3 linked regions of the Tamandua tetradactyla genome follow. The protein of the gene in region 1 interacts with the protein of each later gene in a pairwise test. Links are inferred from orthologs where the notes say so. Each region holds a gene or a part of one and is shown on either strand. Other genes may lie near its edges.

What was found.
Region 2: the proteins of ITSN2 (region 1) and WAS interact in a two-hybrid assay, tested with the Homo sapiens proteins (2 studies listed by BioGRID). The link is inferred for Tamandua tetradactyla from reciprocal best matches to the Homo sapiens genes ITSN2 and WAS.
Region 3: the proteins of ITSN2 (region 1) and SOS1 interact in a two-hybrid assay, tested with the Homo sapiens proteins (2 studies listed by BioGRID and IntAct). The link is inferred for Tamandua tetradactyla from reciprocal best matches to the Homo sapiens genes ITSN2 and SOS1.

What each region holds. Positions count from the first base shown.
Region 1 is NC_135329.1:7,615,285-7,622,426, reverse strand, and holds the start of ITSN2 (intersectin-2), read left to right. Parts: upstream 1-4,126; 5' UTR 4,127-4,347; intron 4,348-4,610; exon of another isoform or gene 4,611-4,733; intron 4,734-7,142.
Region 2 is NC_135353.1:121,599,798-121,607,494, forward strand, and holds the start of WAS (actin nucleation-promoting factor WAS), read right to left. Parts: upstream 3,015-7,697; 5' UTR 2,908-3,014; intron 1-2,907. UniProt on the Homo sapiens protein: Effector protein for Rho-type GTPases that regulates actin filament reorganization via its interaction with the Arp2/3 complex. Important for efficient actin polymerization. Possible regulator of lymphocyte and platelet function.
Region 3 is NC_135343.1:10,348,686-10,355,873, forward strand, and holds the start of SOS1 (son of sevenless homolog 1), read right to left. Parts: upstream 3,015-7,188; 5' UTR 2,972-3,014; coding exon 2,885-2,971; intron 1-2,884.

The sequences.
Region 1 (7,142 bases):
CTCTCTTTCTTCATAACCACCAAAGTTAGACGACCACAAACAGAACTTTACCCTGTTTCCCAGGACTTTTTTGTGAGGATTTAATAAAATAACAAAAGTATTCTGTCCAGTGTAAAGTGCTCCATAAATATTAGTTGGGTTATTACAAGAAGGGAACTAGTACCACACTATGTTTGTGCTGGAGACAGTAACAATGAACCTAAATAGACAGCCGGGCAAATCAGCCAGACAGGAAATATGTCTGACTCCTGAATACAGGCTGGATTCCCTTTTGCTGAGCTACACCTGCCAGACTGGAAGCCCCTCATGCTTCTGTCATGAATGAGCATGTCCTGTCCAGGGCCTCGCCCTAGTCTGGCCCTTGGTTCCACCCTACTGTGCTGGACCAGAGCCAAGTCTGGGCTAATTTCCCCCTCCAGCTGGCCTGGTACTGCCTTTCCGGGATCATCGGGCCTCAAGCCAGAGTCTCAAACTATGTATTACACAAGTGGCCCAATAATGAGAATGCTCCTTCCTTCCCTTCTAAGACTGGGAATTTCCCTTCCCTCCTCTTTCCCTTTAAATCATTCCAACTCCTACTTCTCTGTTTCTCATCGGCCTCAAAGCTCCAGAATAGGATCTGTAAAGTCATGAAGCTGAGAAAAGAGGGCAGAGATGCATTTGTTCCATTGACTGTTTCTCTGAATCAAGTCTCAGCAGCTCCCCACCAGTGCTCACTCCTTGTTTCCACTAGCTGGGACATAAAAGGTTCTTAATAAACATTCACTGAATAAAAATAAATATCAAATTAATGAAATGATAAATACATGTCTAATGAAGTCTCCAGACTTTCTCTTGACCCTGAACCATAATCCTTGGCCTGCTTTTTTATTGCCTTTATGATCAAATTCTACAGCAGCCTAAAACTTGTTTCCCAGACTGACTGACATTATGCACAAAGGAGGATCATCATCATCACAGATATTTTTTCTTTTGAGTTCTGGGAGGAAAAAGAAACTGAAAAAGGGACAGACCTCACTTTTATTTTTTAAAAGGTACACAATTACTGTGTCAGTACAAAAATGTGTTTTGTATTTGCATTGTGCTTAGGAATGGTATGGGGAGATTGTGGAGTTGTGTTTTCTTTCATTGGAGACTAGAAGAGACATCCTGGCTAGAAAGCACAGTTGCTAATAGCAGTGGGCAGGGTTAGGGGCTGACTGACTCCTACTAAAGATAGAAGATAAAAGCACAGCTTTAAACGTGGCAGATTCCCACCGTTCACCACTCCTATCTCCGTGCCTTATAGATGAGGTAGAGCCAGGTTTCTCTGGGATTCCACGGTGGGAGCACTGCCACACTGCTGGAGCATACCGCCTATAAGTCCCAGATGACAGCAAACAGTCAAGCATGCATACAGTTGGTTTACCAGAAAGAGAGTAAAGAATAGGCTGTAATAAATATTTGAAGAAATGATGGCCAAGATTTTTCTTAATTTGAGGCAAGAGAAATGTGTAGATGCAAGATTCTAAATGAACACCAAGCAGCATAAAAACATTAAAAAGTCCATGCAGAGGCATCTAGTTGAATTATTGAAAGCCAAAGACAAAGAGCGAATCTTGAGAGCAGCAACAGAAAAGTGACATATTACATATGATAATTCGCTCAATAGCTGACTTCTCAGCAGAAAGCATGGAAGCCAGAAGAGAATGGAATAGCATCTTTAAAATGCGAAAAGCGGGAGTGGGGTGGGGTGGGGTGGGTGGGTCCCGGAGATGTACAAGGACTGGTGTAAATCACAGATACAGTTCTAAGGCCAGTTTTACGCAGTTAAGGGGGACTGGAATGGTGGATATAACAGAGGGCACTTGGGTGGACTGTTCCAGGTGCTGAAATTCTTGGTGAATGTATGATATGGGGGAAGTTGGTAAATGATAGGAATGAGGATAGAAAAGGATGAGGATAGAGAATAGTATGGTTTCAGTTGTTCTTATAATCCTCAAAGGAGAAGGGACTTTGTGTGCAAATTGAAAAACAGTGATCTGGAAGCAAGAAGAACAAGAAGATGTTTCTTGGTCCCTTCCAAGGTCTGTCTTCCTACTAATATTCCCTTCTGTATGGTGATGATAGAACTACCACTACCCAGATCTACTCTGAAACCTGAGATTTCTTTACTCCTTCTCCTCCCTTATTACTTACGTCCAGTCACCAAGTGCTTAATAGTGCTAAATTCCTTCCTGAAGTGCACGGGGAGGGAGGTATATTTGAGAGGGGATAGAGAATCGAAGCTTCTTGCATTTTGTGTTGTGAGGGTTCCGAATGGAACTCCGGTATTTGGCTGTTTTAGTTCGTGGGATAATGTAGGCTCCCAGTTGGATACAGGACCCGGATTTCCACCAGAGGTTATTTCCTTATTTTAGGGAGATGGTCTGTGTTTCCTCTTAGTCACAAATATCCCTTTTCAGAACCTCCACTTTCGTCCTGCTGAGGATTTGGCAGCACCTCCTTCAGAGAGAAAGGGAATTCAGGGTGAATTGCACCAGGTCCAGAACCCAGAAACAGAAATGGCTTTTAAATGATGGGAGGAAAACAGAGACTAGCTATCTGCTGATCAGGATGAAACATAGATTTCATCCTAACAGGCCAACTCTGATAACTTCGTAGCAGCTCTCTGGAACACCAGAGCGCTACATTGAGAAGGATTTCAAGGCTTAGACTTGAGTACAAGCTCTGAAAGAGGGTACCACAATTGACTGGTGATGTGTGCCATGAGAGTGACACCCTATGCTCAAGAGTGCTCTCCTTAGCCTGGGTGGTTTGTTTACAGACAGGTTGCTTGGTCCCCAGCAAGTAAGGGACTTCCTAAACTAATACAAAAGAGCAAGGCTTCTCTGTGTCACTGAAGCTTAGGACCTACCTTTCAAGTCCTGGCCAGGCCCTGATTGAAACACAGCATCTGAGAGCAGGAAAAGGCTGTTTATCATTCCGGATGTTTGTGAAATTTCTCACATGAGTTGGCTGGGCAGTTGATATAAGTCTGGGCTTTGGAGCTATCCCTCTGAAGTCACCTTGCTACCTTCACCTGCCCAAAAGGTAAGAAATGATAGGAAGCCATAGGATCAGTATGAGTTGTTTAGATTTCTCTTGGACAGATGTCATCATGGACATACAAGTTTTGTACACTGGACCAGCCCCCATCCTGCCTCTAAAGTCAAACAAAACTCTTCCATCTTAGGTCTCCTCTTTGCTATGCCCAAAGGAATCACTGACTCCTCCTCACACTCCTTAACCAACAGAAACCTTTTCTTTGAAGGAGTGCTGTGTTGAGGGCAAGCCCCTTGGTATAGGGTGGAAAGGGAGTTGAAGCCTGATTTTTTTCTTTTTTTTGACAAGATCAGGGGTTGGAAGGGGCGAAAAAAGATTCTGAGCTTGAGCTTCACCTGTTCATCAGCTATGGAGTGGGAAAGAATATTCAGTTTCGGCAGGCCTGCAGATGGGAGTTTGGGGAGAGAGAATGTGAGAGTATACGAGGGGAGCTGCTCTTCTGCATGAAAGGGGGCAGGGAGCCCTCCGTGGTCTGGTGGTCGCATATGCTATGGAGGAGGGAGAGGAATGCTGAATGGATGGCTTTTGGGTATCCGGAGTCCCTGAGGAGGTGAGAGAGGCCAGTAACAGATCCGTGAAGAAGGGTGGGAACCTTCTTCCCAGCCCCCATCCCAGGGAATCCGCGCTCCCAGATCATGGAAGAACCTTCAGTGAGAGAGAAGGTCCCCGAGGGAGCCCTATCTGGGGTGCAATAGGGCTGCGCCCGATCCCGCCTGGTCCTTTCCCAAACCCGGGGGTCTGCCGTAGCAGGAAGCGCACCACCCAAGCTCAGCATGTCACCTTGGGGAGGAGGAGCCAGGTGGGTCGTCGCAGCTCCGGGAAGGGCTGCCAGGGCCGGGGCTTCGGGGTCTCCCCGAGGGGAGAGCAGCGCCCTCCGGGTCCAGGCCCGCTTGGTCCGGTGCCCCGGGGCTCTGGGGGGAGGCGCCTGGCCCAGGCCAATTTCGGGCTGCCAAGAGTGGGAGAGTCCGTGCCCGCGCCGGCGGGCGGGCCGTCCGCGGCCCGGCCCGTCGCCTACCTCCCCGCCCCCCGGCTTCCTGCGGAGGCCGCGGCCGCCATGTTGTTGTGGGGCTGAGGCGGCGCCGGCGGAGCCCAGCGGCCGTGACCGGCTGCGCAACAGGTTCGCTGTCGGCATCCTAGCGAGAGGGCGGGCGGCGGCGGCAGCGGCCCAGCAGGGTCTCCCGGCCCCGACCCGCGCGGGCTCTGCGGGTGCTGAGGAGCGCGGGGTCGCGCTGTGACGTGCAGGAGGCGCGGCGGGGGCGCCAGGTGGGTGAAGCCGCGCGCGCGGGCGGCCGCAGGGCGCGGGGCAGGTGCGGGCGGCGCAGCGCCGGCCGCCCGGGAGGCTGCCAGGGCCGAGCCGTGCGTCGCTGACGCCGAGTCGGGTCGCGGGGCGACCTGGCGTCCCCCGAGCTAGGCCCCTGGGGCTTGGGCGCGCCGGGCGGAAACCTCCAGCCCCGGTTCCTGTTCCCGTGGCGGGGCCGGGGCGGGCGCCGAGCCGGCCGCGGCCTCTTCTGGCAGGTGGCGGATGCCGCCGAGGGCGCGGGGCGGCGTGGCCCCCTCGCTTTCGGGGTGCGGGCGAACGAGAGCCCGGACCCGTTTTATTATCGTGGAGTTGGTTTTTCTCCTCGGTAATGGTTGGTGTGAAATGTCAGGTGAGCCGCATCCCGGTGCGTCAAAGTGGTCCGAGTCACGGACGGATGCCCGGCGTCCACGGCTCGCATTAAACCGAAGTTGGGAAATGTTAAAATTTGACTTCCAGGGTACACAGGAAGCGCGGAGAGATGTAATTTCTTAGGCCAGAGTAAAGTTTATTGGTTATTTAAAAGAAAAAAAAAAGACTCCTGCATGTGCATAGTGCATGGGTAAATCAAGACTGAAAGCGCCGATGGCTCTACACTCTGTAGAAAGGTGCAGTATTTGAATTTATTGATCATGTTCTTTATCGTTGGATGATTGCCGAAGGTAAATATGCCTTCCTTGAAATTTGTATTAATTACGAATTGAGAATCTGTTTGCTAGAGCTAACCGCTTTATGATAGGAGCTGTGGTCAACACAAAAATTATTGCTTTACTAAATCCTTCTAGTTTGTTTTTACTAGTATTTACTTACTTACCCAGAAACGGGCATGGTGGAACTTGAAATTTTGTGGTGTTGTATTTAGGTTAATTTGGGTAGCAGAGCCTCAATAGGTTAAGCGGCTTAAGTCTTTAGGAAAAGTAAGTTCCTTCCTCCCTGTCCAGGTTTGCTATTTTGTTAATCAGTGTTAAAATCTAAAAGCAAGCTGCAAACATCACATAAAACCTTTGCCCAAATTAATAATGTTATCCCTCAAATTTAAATATAGTAACAACTCTGATGGGCTCACCTTTAGGTTTCTTTGGCTGTGGGCACAATTCCCTTATAATTTTAAAAGTAAAAAAGTCATTTTTAAAAGCTTAATTTAGAAGCGAACAGTATTTCATGTGTTTGAAGGACTTAAGAACGATGTGCATTGCTGTTGTTTTAATGTAACGTTAATAAGCAGCTGAAAAGCTTGTATTCCCCACCCCCACCCCCTTTAATGAAGGTGATTATTCTCTTTCCTGGCGTTTATATGAAGGTTAGAATGGTCTGAGAAAACTTGACCCATTCTGAATAATTGAACAGGAAGGCACCGTTGTTCTGCATATCTCAAGCCTAAAATCTTGATGTCTTCTGAATATGAGGAAATGTTTTTGGAATGTTCTAAGGATTGGATTTGTAGTTTAAGAAATTTCATAAATATAGGCTAGTATAAGGAGCCTGTTTATATCCATCAACCAGTTTCAGTAGTTTGCAAGCCTTTCTTTATCTAGGCTTTTTTCTTTCTTTCCTACCTTTATTTCTGTTTTAGCCATGTCACCCTCCATACCTAGTATTTTTCTCTCTGAAAAAGAAAAGTGAAATTTCTTACATAACCTCAAGGATTTTTAGTTTTAATTTATTTTTAAACTTCCAAATTCCATCTTTCTGGCAAGACCAAAAGAACATTTATTGCTTAACTCCTTCAGTATTAAAATATATTTACCATGCTTGTCATTTACTGAGCACTTACTACATGCTAGGCCCTGTGTATGCAAAGTGCATAATTATTTAATGCTCACAGAGCTCATAGTTACTGTCTTCACCATCCAAAAGATAAGGGAAATGAGGTGCTAGGAGATTATTTGACTATTCTAGCTCTTGAACCTAGTAAATACTGGAGCCAGGTTCAAACCCAGGCCTTTCTGACTTTAGGGCCTGTACTTTCTTACAGGGTGTGATCATCTTGGTTCAGAATTTTAAAAAAGTTTTATTGGATTCAATAAATAATTGTTGAGTGATGAAAGTCCGTAATTGATAAGTACCTAGCATTTTTATATACTGTATTTAGTAGCAAAACATTTGTATTAACAAGCTCCAGAAATGATTCAGAATAAGCTATTTGCATTACTAAAAATGTGTATATTTAATTACCATCTAACAGTGATTTTGCTTTTTCTTTTGTATTTTGTTTTTTCAGCACCTTATTTATGGAAAAATCTGATTGTGGAAAAACTAATTTTGGAGAAAAGCTAAAAGGAAAAAGAGCCTTTTGTGTGTGTGTGTGTGTGTGTGTGTGTGCACGCTAATTAAAGGCAGGATTCCAAGTGTGACTTGGAAAAATAAGAATATCTAGAATAAATCCTGTAAATGCATCAGAAATGCTGTATTTTTTTTTTTTTTTGGCTTATGTTCACTCTTAGCTATATACTGTCCTATAACTACAGAGCACAGAAACTAATGTTAGAATCCCATTGGGTAACTTGTGTGTATTCATATCCTTGAGAAGGGGAACCTGAACTAGTCTTAATATGAAAGCAGAGAGGAAGTGGTGGAAGAGGGGAGGAAACTGAGCAGAAATAAGACGTTGAATAAATCAAGAAATCATGTATTTTCCTAAGTCTTAAGAGGGCAGCATTTTTCATTTGCAGATATCCCATATTATTTTGAGGGATTCATTTCAAAAGTAATTTCACAGCTACATCAGGACACTGAGTGATTTAGTTACGTAGGTGTGGAG
Region 2 (7,697 bases), on another chromosome or scaffold:
TGTCTAATTTTACTTAGTGTTTGCTGCTATGTCTTCCAAGGGCCTTACATTTATCAACTCATATAATATGCACAGACAACCTCATGAAGGAAGCACTACTGTTATCCCCATAGGGGATAGGGAAGCTGAGAACCAGAGAAGTTTAGACAACTTGCCCAACAACACATAGCTTGTAAGCAGGAGAGTAGAGGTCAACAGTTCCTAAACTGTTAGGTGCCATATGGCGGCCAAGATAAAATTCTGCTTCTTTTTTATGTCTTTTGTTCTCCACCTTCCTACTCCTTTCTTGGCCCCCAGATGTGTCCCTATAGCTCTACATCAGGGAACCCTAAACCTCTGCTACATGTGCTATTTTTTAAAATTAATATTTAAAAGTTGCATGTCACTCTTGAAAGTTGCATATTTCCTGTTTGTATTTCTAAGTAGCAAACAGGCTTATATCTTTTTCTTTAAATAAAAATCCTAAAGCAGATTTTGTTATTTGGGTCCTTAATAAAACGAGTTTCCCCACTCTGTAATACAGCAATTTTTGAATTTAGTATCATTGTTCATATTATAATATAGTATTAATTACTCTGTCAACCTGCATTAATAAATTGGAGCTGGTTTATACGTCTCCATTAAACAGTGCTTTTTGGCACTGGATAGCATTCGGTGAGGTGATGACCTCAAAGATAATTTGCTCTCCCATGCTTTCAAATAGGTTAAAAAACGAACCTTAATCCAACTTTTCTGATTGCTTTCACCAGGAGAGTTGGTCTGATACAATACAGGCAGCCCAAAACAGCTGGAAGCAGAAAGTCTAATTCACTTCTTATAATATTATGAACACCTACAAACCCCCAAATACCAGTGTATGCCCAATAATTTACACCCACCCATTGCTCCCCCATCATCTACGCCTGCCTCAAAGGGTACCAAATTGAGAATCATTTCCTGTTCATATCTTTGCTTAGTTTGCTTTCTTTGGGGAGATTACTGCCTATGCAATTCCCATTTCCATGCCTCAAGCCCTGTGACGAGTAAGACACAGTCAGTATTATGATCCCGGGTTGTTTTCCACATGCTGGTCACCACCACATGGAGTCCATGGAGGAGATCTAGGCATGGGGAGGGTCCAACTGCTGTCCTTTAAGATCAAGATAGAGGCCAGGACCGCAAAATTGATATTGCAATGCCATCCTTCTCCCCTCACCTTCCCACCCCTCATGGCCCTCCATACCCCTGAGGGGTGCTTCCTAGGGACAGGCCCAACCTAAGAAAACAATAGCTCCCAACCCTCAGACCCGATGCTCCGTTTTAATAAGTGTTTGCATTCAGCATCCTAAAATGACATGTATGGATGTTGTAAGTCTTTGTATTGTGGGACTGTCCCCTAGCCTTGCAGGTCCCTGCCGACTCAATGCCAGAAGCACCCCTGACACAGTGAGAACCACAAATGTCCCCAGGATTCCCAAAATACATCCCAAGGGCAGGTAGGAACAGGATCCTTGTCTGTCTTGTTCATTGCAGTATCCTCATCACCTCGCACAAGACCCTGCATGCAGTGGTAGAGGGTAAATCAATATTTGCTGAATAAATAATTATAGTCCAGATATCTATGCTGTGAATATACCATCCTCTTCCCACAAAGCTAAACTCATCCTCTCTTTACCACTGCCTCTCTGGTATCCCCTGGGAAAAGGGAGAAGAAAAATAACTCAGAACGCTGAGGGCCTAACCCCCTCCCATAAAGGCTCTACACTGTTCACTATGGAAAAATGGGTTCTTTAAGGGCCCTTATGAGAGCAGCTGATTTTTAGTCCTGGTGGGGGTGGGGTGAGTATAGGGTGTGCACAGAAAAGCAGAGACATCTGTAGAGATAAGAAGGGCTCAGTGGTCAGAACCCTACTGAGCCTTTTAGCCTGGCTTTACTGCTGGCCATTTACCAGCTGTGTAACTTCTGGCAACCTCTCAAATGCCTCAGTTCTCTCACCCACAAAGGGAATATAACAATGGTGGTTAGGGTTGTTGTAAAGATTAAATGAGAATTCATAGAAAGTGATTAGGGCAGAGCTTGACATATTATAATTATGCGTTATTGTTACTGTTTTTATGAATTAGCTGGGCAACCTAGATAAATGAAATATTATCCCTTTAGCCTAGCATTCACGCCCTGTTCTCTCGAGTTCTTCTTCACCCTTCTCCTTCCTGGATGGTCAAAGACCCAGAATACACGACCACTTTCCCACTGCCCTTTCTTTACTTTCTCTGCTGCAAAGCCCATCTCAGAGGTCCACTTGGTGGGACCCGGCCAGATTCCTGCAGTGCTGTGAGATGGCCCTGGAGCCCTCCCGGCCAACCTCAGAGGTCCCACCCACCAGGTTTCCCACTCCCGTACAGGAAAACACTGTGCTAGACAATAGCTCTACGGTATGGCTGCTAACCTGGATCAGCTGGGGGTCCAGAGTTCCCTCCCCCCTCCCCCCAGTCCCTACATTGTCCACACTCTCAAAGTCACCCCCAACTCTCCCTGGATGGGTGCTTCCTCCCTGCATCCCAATCTTTGTAGCTCTAGGAATGTCCACTCCTTTCAGTTGGTATGATCACAGGACTGTCCACACACCAGTTAGGGGACCCCAGGGCTGTGTTGACCCCAAGGGGACCCACTCCCCAGATTGCGTAAAGTCCGCAGCCTGGGACGGATCACCCGGGAGTAAGAATGAAACAGTCAGCCTACGATCCTAGCACTGGGTGGTGGCGGCCATCTTGTAACATACCACTTTTATTCTGCGGGGCTGGATTACTAAAGGCTGCCTCATCCCAACAAGAAGCCAGGCCCAAGCTCCAAACGGAGAGGAGAATGTCACAATCTTACTCGTCCCAAGCCTCCCAATTCCTCCCGACACCCACCCGCCTAGAGCGGACCTCACTTTCAGGCCCGCAGCCTCTCTCATATCCGCCATCTTAATTAACTTCGTTCACCGCCCACCCCTCGCTTCCGTAATTTCGAACAAGCTCTTGCCACACCGGAGCAGGCAATTGGCTCAGGGTGCGAGCAGATCGGGGACTGACGTGGGCTCTGATTGGTCGGTGAACGAATTCCCCTCCTTGCTGTGCTTTGAAGCCTCAGGGCTCTGGGAGAATAACATAGCCCCGCCTCCACTCCTGGGTGCCGGACTCTTATTGGCCACTGAATCGGGGCATGCGCAGTAGATGCCAGACCAGTGTTAGGGTCCGCTGAGGCAGGGTTTTGAAGATTAAGGGTGGTGGGTTCTGAAACCACCTCGGGCTGTCATTGTGTTCATCTGTAAAAGGAATGAGCATGGTGCTTTCTGTTGGGGTTTAAGTGAGATCACGCGCTGGGGCGTGGCACTTAGTGTCCTGGGTGATTCAATTGTTACAACTCTGTAACAAGCCCTTTAGGGTTTTCCTGCCTTCCCCCGTCGTTCCTGCATTCATTTATTCTGTGGTTTGCTCAAAACAAAAAGCGTTGCCTTCGGTTTGAATTTTAGGACAACTCTCAGAAGTGGTTTTAATAAAATTAAATTCTGCCGCAGTGGGACGCTTGGCTCTCCCAACACCAAAAAGATGCAGTGAGGCATCCTGTGGTATTTGGATACAAAGTAGTAAAATTATATTAGTTGACTAAGATACGGCCCAAAGGGATACAAAGTGTACAGCAGTTCAACGCTCTAATGGAGGGGCCTTTGACAGAGTGTATTTAAAAGAATAAACACGCTCCAGTTTTTGATGTGCCAAGCGATGGTTTCGGAGCATTAGGCCTGCCTGGTTAGACCTGAAGGGTTGCTGAGATTGACTCCTGTTATTTAATACACATCACAGGTGATATAGCCAGTCACCTGTTTTTTTTTTTCACTGTTTCTTTTGTTTGATTTGAAAATGAAATGTAGAAGTAGTTTCATGAGTATTTAAGACAGGAGATAGCTCATCAGTAAACACAGTCACAATATTCATAATGTAAATAATATGGAAACTGTACAGTTGAGCTGTCAGATTACAGTCCAAGATGATCAGTGTCTTTATGTTGCACTTATTGTTACATTTAGAGATCAGTAAATATTTTTTCTTTTTCAAATTTATTTATTAATTAAAAAATTAAGAAACCAAAAAATCAACATATATAATCAGTAATTCACAATATCATCACTTAGTTGCATATTTATCATTTCTTGGAACATTTGCATTAATTCAGAAAAAGAAAAAAAAGACAATAGAAAAAGAAATAAAAAGAAAACAGAAAAAAAAAGATTATACCTACTATACCCTTTACCCCTCGCTTACATTTATCACTAGCATTTCAAACTAAATTTATTTTAGCATTTGTTCCCCCTATTATTTATTTTTATTCCATATGTTCTACTTGACTGTTGACAAGGTAGATAAAAGGAGCATCAGACACAAGGTTTTCACAATCACACAGTAACATTGTGACAGCTATATCATTATTCAATCATCCTCAAGAAACATGGCTACTGGAACACAGCTCTACATTTTCAGGCAGTTCCCTCCAGCCTCTCCATTACATCTTGAATAACAAGATGATATGTACTTAATGCGTAAGAATAACCTCCAGGATAACCTCTCAACTCTGTTTGGAATCTCTCAGCCATTGACACTTTGTCTCATTTCACTCTTCCCCCTTTTGGTCGAGAAGGTTTCCTCAATCTCTTGATGCTGAGTCTCAGTTCATTCTAGAGTTTTTCTCAATCCCTTGATGCTGAGTCTCAGCTCATTCTAGGATTTCTGTCCCACGTTGCCAGGAAGGTCCACACCCCTGGGAGTCATGTCCCACGCAGAGAGGGGAAGGGTGGTGAGACTGCTCGTCATGTTGGCTGGAGAGAGATGCCACATCTGAGCAACAAAAGAGGCTCTCCTGGGGGTGACTCTTAGGCCTAAATTTTAAGTAGACTTGACCTATCCTTTGTGGGATTAAATTTCATATGAACAACCCCCAAGCCTGGGGGCTCAGCCTATAGCTTTGGTTGTCCACACTGCTTGTGAGAATATCAAGAATTCAGCTTGGGGAAGTTGAATTTCTCCCCATTCTCACCATTCTCCGAAGGGGGCTTTGCAAATACTTTTCCACTCATTGATCGAATCACTCTGGGATTCATCAGGGCATCACTCTGGAGAAACCAACAAAATCTCATGTCCTACCTGAGATTCCAAGTACTTATGGTGTTCAATCAAACTATCTACATAAGTTACATTAGGAAATGCACTAGTCAAAATATAAATTTTGTAACAAATAAGGATTTTTTGCTTTAGTCTCACACATAAGGTGACATTTTAAAATATTATCATCTATTTTTAGCACCCTGCAATAATGACATTCTTTTGTTCTTCCTCATGCAAAAACATTTTTAAAATTTGTACATTGTACATTTAGTCTCTGTTATTATACACTCCAGGCATTCCTAGATTATACCATCTCAATTTTTAACATCTGTCTTTCTTTCTGATTTCATTTATGTCCCCAGCCCTCCTCCCTCTATCATTCTCACATGCAGCTTCATTCAGTGTTTTAACATAATTGTATTACAGTTAGGTAGTATTTTGCTGTCCACTTCTGAGTTTTTGTATCCAGTCCTGTTGCACAGTCTGTATCCCTTCAGCTCCAATTACCCAATATCTTACCCTATTTCTATCTCCTGATGGTCTCTGTTACCAACAAAATATTCCAAGTTTATCACTAATGTCAGTTCATATCAGTGAGACCATACAATATTTGTCCTTTAGTTTTTGGCTAGACTCACTCAGCATAATGTTCTCTAAGTCCATCCATATTATTACATGCTTCATAAGTTTATTCTGTCTTAAAGCTGCATAATATTCCATCGTATGTATATGCCACAGTTTGTTTAGCCACTCGTCTGTTGATGGACATTTTGGCTGTTTCCATCTCTTTGCAATTGTAAATAATGCTGCTATAAACATTGATGTGCAAATGTCCGTTTGTGTCTTTGCCCTTATGTCCTCTGAGTAGATAGCTAGCAATGGTATTGCTGGGTCATATGGCAATTCTATATTCAGCTTTTTGAGGAACCGCCAAACTGCCTTCCACAGAGGTTGCACCATTTCAGTCACCTGTTTTGACGTTTACAATTTGAAAATTATGTATATATATATATAACCTGCCTTATAAAAGTACATGCAAATATGCATAAATAAATACATAATTTGTAGGATATGGATACATATGATTTAGATAAAGCAGTGGGGCCCCAGTTCACTGTCCTAAGTCAGTTAAATACTGAAGGAAAGGAGACCATTGATAATTTAACATAGTGACCAAAGGTTTAGGAGGCCTGAGCCCTGAGCTCCTTGCCTCCACCAGGCTGAGCAAATTCCCCTTAGTTAGCTTGCAAACTCCAGTTGTATAACAGGTGCTGCATCCAATGTGAAAACATCAGCTCTGATGCTAAGGAAGGTTGTTATTTTAAGTGTGTGGGTATTTGGGGGTGTGTATGGGTAAAACAAAGCAAAAGTTCAGTTGAAGTGTGGACACTTCATCACTGGATCTTTTCAATGGTGGCTGGATTCCTAAAATATATTTCATTTTAGTACCCCCACTCAGAGGCTATGGGAGGTGAAAGGTGCATTAATTTGTTGGAAATCTTGCTCTAATAGCTATAGTATGGTATAACCAAACATACGATAAGCTATATAATCTCTTTTTGGGGAAATGCACCCAAAATAAATCTTGCTCTAATGAATATAGTATGGTATAACCAAACATGCAATAAGCTATATAATCTCTTTTGGGGGAAATGCACCCAAAAGAAATGCAATTAAAGAAAATAGGAAAGAAAAAGAAAACTGTTAGCTTATGAGTTAGCCTATTTGAATAGACTAAAATGCTAAAAAAAAAAAACCCTCCAATAAAAGTAGCTCACACTGTAGGTCAGTTGCCCTTTATTATAAGAATTTTGTCACCACCATCAACCACACTTTAGACCTTGTTTACAGGCAACTTGAAGAGAAAGTTTGTTCTTGTTGGTTTTTTGGTGGCGGTTTGCTAAGTTTGGCCACTATGGGAAAACACAATATGTGTGTTTATAATCTTATGATCAATGGAACTTTCCAAGAATTGGATGATAAATATGTACGTAGACATGGTGTTAGCATGGCCTGTGTTAGAGCTGGTCAAGGCAGCTTCAAAAACATGTTTATTTATTTATTGCCAATGATGGTCTTCCTTTACAATCAAAGCAAAATATTTTAAAGATGAATTTTTCTTTCTGATTATCTTTGATGACTGAAAAACATTTTCAATGTTTAAAAGCATTTATCCTTTTGAAACTTTTTTCTGCTTCATTAGTAATGGTACTATCAAAGATGGGGTTGGAAACACTAGTTGTCAATGAAAGAGGGGGTAAGGTGTATGGTATGTGTGAGTTTTTTCTTTTTTCTTTTTATTTCATTTTCTGGAGTGATGCAAATGTTCTAAAAACCGATCATGGTAATGAATACACAACTATGTGATGACACTGTGAGCCATCGATTGTACACCATGTGTAGAATGTATGTGTGTGAAGATTTCTCAATTAGAAAAAAAAGATAGATGGGGGTACATGGGAGATGGGGGGGTGCATGGGTGGTTCAGTGGTAGAATGCTCGCCTGCCATGTGGGAGACTCAGGCTCAATTCCTGGCCCATGCACCCCCCCCCCCAAAAAAAAGATAGATGAAGAG
Region 3 (7,188 bases), on another chromosome or scaffold:
AAAACAGTCAGTCCTACCTAGCTAAAGCATAAAGAACATGAAAGGTTATAGTAGGCAACCTAGTCAGAAAACCAGGATGAAGCTACATCAGTGACCACCACCAATTCCATGCTAAAAAAGGTGGGGGGGTGGGGGGAGTAAGTGGAAGGGAAAGAGGTGATGACTTTAGTTTGGAAAGTACTACATTTAAAGGATATGAAAGAAGTACAAGTACACAATATCCTTTTGCCCATTCATTCAAATAATCTGAGTGCCAAACAGTGCCAGGCAATATTTACATGGGGGATAAAAGGATGCTTCTGTTTTAAAGGAGCAACCTATCTAGTTGGGGGGACAGAAATAAATAGGAACTTAAAATTCACTGTTAACTGCTAGGGCAGGGTGCTAAAAGAAAAAAGAAAAAAAAAGAGGAGGGACATCCAACTCAGTCCTAAGAACTCTCAAGTTGAACGTGAGTCCAGAAGGAGGAGCAATGTTAGGCCAGGCAAAGAGGGGCAGTTCAGGTGAAGGGAACAGCATGTCCAAACAGTCTCAGGTAAGAGAACACAAGTTGGGCACATCTTGTGTTAGGTCAGAAGGATGAATTCAAGATGTGAAAATATCCAAATGAAATATCCAGGAGGCAAGTGAAAATGCAGGTTTTGGGTTCCGAAAAACACATCCAAATATGAAATATACTTTCAATCTTTTCTTAAGTGGCTTAGAATCATTGTTAGTTGGTGTCTGAATGAGAAATTCCAAGAACCTTACATATCAGCTAGATTGTATACACTTACACCTGTTCACCAACATTTCTACTGTTATTACGTATCTTTGCTAAAAGTCAAACACTGGTTTATGTAAATACGCCAGATGAACTGGTGGGGACTGTGGTAATTGGAGATAAATGTTCTATTTAAAGGGGGCAGCCATTTACTAATTTCCAGTCATATACTTCCTTGCATGAATGTAGACCCAACACTGAGAGATCTTTCTGCTCGTCAAGAAAGTTTCAAAATTTAGATTTTATATGCTCCCATTTTTAAATACTGGCAACTAATTACATTTGAAAATAACAGCTAATTGGTATTTCAGAGATAGAATTCCTGCCTACCATGCAGAAGACCAGGGTTTGATTCCCAGCCCATGAACCCTGGAAAAACAAAACAAAACATTCAGCAACTGGTGCTGCAATGACAGGACAGTCACATGGAAAAGAATGAAATGTGACCCCCACCACACAGCATACAAATAATAACAGCCAAACGAAATGTTCTTGTAGACAGAATTCAGCAAGGCCCACCAGCACAGCAGTTAGACCAGGTCTGCCAATTTCTACACTGCTTTTTCTATCCTGCCATATGACCCTTTGGTTCCCTTGGAGTAGGAGTTGTGTCCTTCTAAAGCAAAACAGCCCCAAATTGCTAATGTTCTCTAAGGTTTTTTTTTTTTTTTGTATGTTTTGAACAGTTTTTCTGTCTACCTCCCAGTCAGAATATCTTCTAGCCTTTCCTACTCCCTTTTCTGTTGTAAGCTATCAGGCCAAGCTTTCAGGTAAAGCAAACGTAAATAAAGTGAAAACCTGATGGTATTTCTAATGAATAAAAGATATATTCTGTAAATCAACTCCTTGGTCTTCTTAGAAAACAGAATCACAGAAATATTTATGACTAATCAAACTTGAAAAAAAAGGGCGGCAACTTAAATCTGAACTATATGAGCATATTTTTCTACAGTTAGAGATGGAGGGTGGAAGGCAGTTAAGAACAGGACAAAAGGGAAAGTAAAAGTTTCTAGCCTTTGAGAAATAGCAGACATCTTTTAAGATGCATTTTTTAAAAAGCACAAATGTTTAGTACAAAAGGAACATTGTAATCTTAATTCTCAGTGGGAGCAAATATGTACATATATATTTTTTTAACAGATAACACAAAACATTCTTTGGGCAAAAAAAAAATTAGGGTTTTGAAATACTATTAAAAGAGGAAAATAATCTCTATACTTATAAAAAGGTAAATGAAGGAAACAAAAAGTACTCTGGTTGCTTTTAAATCCATTCAAATACACCAATTTCTGAGGTTTTAATAGAATATGTGTTTTTAAAGTGACAACATTGCTTAAGGAAACTTTTAAAATTAGCAACATTTCCTAATTATACTAGAATACTTAAACGATCTGAAGAGAAACCAGAGTATACGAAAACATTTAAAAGAACAGATCGTAGGATATAACTTTAGATAACTTTAGATAAGTGTGGCACACTTGAAAAGAAAAAAGAAAAAGCACATAAAAGGTTAACACTTGCAATCGACAAACCAAAAACTAGTACCAAGATTCTCGAACAATCAACGACCACAAAAATCTGAAGAGTGGCCTTTGCAGGCGCCCGGGTTGACCCGAGGGGTGGGGGATTCAGGAGAATGGGGAGTGAAGACTGAAGGCGAGCGGAGCAGGCCGTGTCCCCACTCCTGCTGGCAGGCGAGCTGTGCCATCAGAGTAAGCATCAGGGCCAGAGCACTTCTCGAGCCCAGTAAAACAGAAGGCTGACAGCAGCTACCGGGTGAGGGGGAGACGGAGGAAAACTGGCCTGCTTTGACCTCCACGGAAAACTGAGGCTCCTCCAACTGTAGCCTTCGAATCGAGGCGCAGGGCATTAATCTCTCAGCGGTCGGAGGATTCCTACGAAATCTCCGTGGCGCCCTGCGGCCTTCCCACACACCGGCCGAACGTCAACGGCGAGGACTAGCCGAGTGTGGGGGGCCCTCTCAGTGCGCACTGTCCTTTCCGAGAGGCGGTGAGAACGGGAAGAAAGCCAGCCCAGCGCGCCCCGCCTCCCCAGCCCTGCCCCGGCCGGGCAACCTCACCGGGGATGCAGCTGGGAAGCGGGGTCCCGCGCGCTCCTCACCTTTTTCAGCGCAGGCACCAGCAGACCCCGCCACTTGGGCGCGTTCTCCTCGCTGAAAAACTCGTACGGCAGCTGCTGCGCCTGCATGGTGCCCCCCGGGCGCCTCTGGGCTGGGAGGGGGGCGGCGGCGGCGGCGGCGACCAGACCGCGGAGGGAGAGGGCGAGCTCGCCGCGCCGAGCAAGGCCGCGACCCCGCGGGACAGCCCGGCCCCCTCGGGGCGCCGCGCGGCCCGGCTAGCCCTGACGGCCCGGCTGGGGGCCGAGGCCCGCGCGCGGCCACCTACCCGACACTGGCACTAGCCGAGGAGAGTGAAGGCAGCCCGGAGGCGGCGGCATGCCGCACCACCGCCCCAGGGCCGAGCCCCCCCACCCCTCCCCAGCCCGCCGGCGCCGCCCCGGGCTGCCCTCCGCAGCGACCGACGCTTGCCCGCCGGGGCGGCGCTCCTGGGCCCGGCCTGGCCCAGCGGCGGAGCCGGCGGCGAGGGGGAGGGTGTGTGGAAGGACGCTCAGGCCGAGGCTCCCACTGCGAGCAGCTGGGACCCCGAAACGCGCAAGGCCCCGGGCGGGGCGGAGCTGGGGCCGGGGTCTAGCGGGGGAGGGGAAGGGCCTTGGATCGCTGTTGGGGAATCCGGCCGCAGTGAGGTGGTGCCGCCGCCGCCGCCGCCGACACCGGTGTAACGCTCCTCGAGCTTCCTACTTGCGAACTGAACCTGCTCACCACTGAGCATGCGCCGCCGGGCTGGGTCGATTCGCTCCGGGTTTTCGGCCTCTCCAGTGAAGGCCGAGGGAAGTGCGGAGGAGGGAGGGCTCCGGGCTGTGCTGCCGCTGCAGCCCAGGGGGCTGCCGGGGAGGGGCGGAGAGGCCCCAAGAATTCCGACCCCAGGCAGATTGGGTCCCCAAGAAGTCCGACCCCGGGCGGACTGCGGCCCTGCGGCGGTGGGGAGCCAGGGGGCGGCGGCGACCTACGGTGAAGCGGCCCCCATTGGGTGTTGGAGAGATCTGGGCCTTTCGTTTCGTTCCGAGGTTTTAGCGTATGTGTACTTTGTCCCCGACCGTGAAGATAAGGACTGCCCAGAACATGTACGATATAGTAAACAGACTGGACAAAAGATAGGATCCCTTCTCACGAGAACAAAGTGTTCAATGTTCGTGGGGTGGTAGAAATGATTGCAGTGTTTCCAGTCGGTCTTTCCACATACCTACAGGACAAAATGTGGACACGTAGTATTGAGTTTCTGTTATGTGTTTTCAGATTCAGTCATTTCATCTTTCAAACCCATTTCAAATATGCACTTCTCCAATAATCTCTCACCTTCAGTGGAAACAGACCTGTTCTGCAGCTCCGGGAGCACTTTACTCATGCTCCTCTCAGGACATTTAGTCTATAGTATTTTGTATCTTTACTCTTTAGACTAGATAATAAACTCCTGGAAGAGCAGATCTTTTTCACCAGGAGCTCTACACAGAATAGCCTCGTGGTAGATGTTTGTGGAATGCTAAAGGAGCATGATCTCTAAATTGCCTCCCCATCCTAGCATGCAAATATTTGTTTATAACAGTGGCACTCTGTAACCGTCTCATGATTTATCATTAAACACATTTTGAGCACTATCCTATTTAATCCTCATAGCAACCCTACTGTTCTCGTTTCACAGATGAGATCTCATTTAGAGAAGGAGTCGGGTTGAAGGTGACATTTACTCTATCTCTGAGAATTGCCAGGATCACATTGATGAAAAATGCTTAAGCAGTGGCTCTTAATCTTTAAAGGACCTCTTCGTGGATCTGAAATAAGTCTTGGTCCTTTCCTTTTAAAGTGGTCACACATGATTTACATGTTTAAAATGTTCCCACACTTTCAAAGGGGCCAAAATAACATTTTGAAATCTGTCCATAAACCCTCTGAATAAGGAGTAAAGAAACCTTAGCTTGGAGAGGAATTGGAGGCACAAGCAGGGGTCTCAGAGGATACCATGTCAGCCATCTTCAAATACCTAAAGGACTATGATATGAAAAACTAATTGGTTTGTATGGTTCTAAACGACTGATCTAAGCTCACTCTTCTGCCATGAACTCTTCCTTGGGCTTCCCGTTGCTCTGAGATTACATCTCCAAGGTACTATGGCCCACAAAGTCGTGCATCTGGCTCCTGCTTACTTTCTCAACCTTGACTATCCCACTCAGTCACACCGGCCTTTCATCCACTCCGAGAAAACACGAACCTCTTCCCTGCCTCTAGGGCTTTGCTCTCTCCTCAGCTTGGAACTCATTGCTCCTAGCTGTGCACTTGGCTAGTTTTAAACCTCACATCCGAAGACACCTCCTCTGATCACTCTAAATAGTTCCTGCTTATTTTTTTCTACAATAAACCCTATTTATTTCCTTGCTAGCCCTATTATCACAGCCTATTTTTTGGTTATTGTCACTTCTCTCCCCTCCCCCTGAAATGTAAACACCAAGCGGATCAGCAATCGTGTGTGTATAGTAGGCATTGCACTCCCAAGATCTACGGTGCCTGGCACATAGTAGGTGCTCAATAAATATTTTTGAAAGGGTGAAAGTTGTATGGAGGAAACTTCCAAGAAGAAGACTACATAAACGGGGAGTCGTCGGAGGTTTACAACTACACATTCACTCACGCGGTATATCGAGAAGGGCTAAGAGGTTGGACTTGAAAATCTCGGAAAATGCCTCTCACCCACTGGCTCCCCAACTCCGAGTCTCTGATTTTATCGCAGAGGGAAACCAGCTCCAAAACTACGGATTTCAGCCTGGACTGGACAAGCTCAGAGACCGGGGCAGGTTTTCACTAGTATGGATATTTAGGCCGCAGGCTGAGAGCAAATAGCTGGAGGAAATTTGCGGTGAAGACACCCATTGCTTCTCAGCTGAAAGACAAGGGGGCAGTGGGGCCAGGCTCGGCGCCGTTAAAGTCAGGGAGCACTCCAGCTCCTCCGCACTGTTCGCCTATTTCTCGTTTTCTTGGGACAAAACAAAACACCTACGGACGTGAGACCAGTCAGCACCGCCGTGGCGCGGAAGCCCCCTACCGTCAGCCTCACCAGCCAACTGCGGCGCCACGGCGCAGGCGCCGAGGCTGCGGCTCACGCCCCTCTTCAGACCCAAGAGCCCCGCGCCAAAGCGGACGGGACGCCCGGGAGTGAATCCAGGCGGACTAGCCGAGGCCCGAAGAGGGCGCGTCCAGGAGGTTTAGCCGAACTTCGAGCGTGCAAGTCGGAACCGGGACACTGAGGAAGGGGGCGGGGAAAGCGTTTGGCTCCACAGCTCGCCCCCTGCAGGCGGAAGGGCGCACTCGGCGCTTTACCGCACGCGGCTGGCCTGGACCGCGCTGCGCGGTTCCCTCCCGTGCAGTGACCGCACTCTTCTTCCTGAAGCATCCTTCAGAACCCGTTACTCTCCTGTTCAAGAGCCTCCACTGGCTCTTCAACAGTCCAGAGTCCTTAGCCTGGAATTCATGGCCTTGAACGCTCGGGCCAACACTTGTCTTTCCAACTGTATCTCCCACTGGAAATGAGCAACCTGTTGGCTCCTACACATCCATCTCTTTTCTGCTTCTGTCTTTTTCATACACCGTTCCATCTGCCCGGACTGCTCAGACCCATTTTTCTCCAACCCCACGCGCCACAGCCCCACCTAACCCTCTCCCACCATACACGGTTGTTAGGTCGGGGGAACAGGGGTCACCAAGACTGGAGCTGTGTAAAATGTGCCGCCCCTTCTAGACGTCACCTAACCCCCTTGCTTAAAACCCGCCCGCACCAGGACCCAGCGGCAAACTCACAACTCCCTACCTTACGCTCTGTGAGCTCTGCCCGGGAGCGCAGAATAAACTCGCTCACTTTAAAGTTTCTTGGTCCGTCTCTTCTCTCTTTTCGCCTCCTTAACCTTACATTTTGGTACCCAAAACCCGGGAGAAGAGTGCGGGTGCTGCCCGCCTGGCCAGGGGCGACCCGGCCTCCTCTCTCCTCTTTCCTCCACATATCCAGCGACCAGGGAATCCCTCGGCCGCCACTGCATCCACCACAGATCGGGTAAGCCCCTTCCCTCCTAGCCCTGCTGCCGGGTCTCACCGTTCGGAGAGAGCCTGTCCGTAAATTACCCTCCGAAAATCGTTTCCCTCCGGATTTTCAGGTCCTGAAAATCGCAAACCAGGGTGAGACGTCCCCTGGGAAGACGAGCCCCGGCTCGTAAGAGCTCCGAAGACTCTCTCAGGGTGTTGGGACGCCGACACCCCCTGGGCCAGTCCTTTCTCCTTTGAGACCCGTCAGTATGGGCAGCAAATG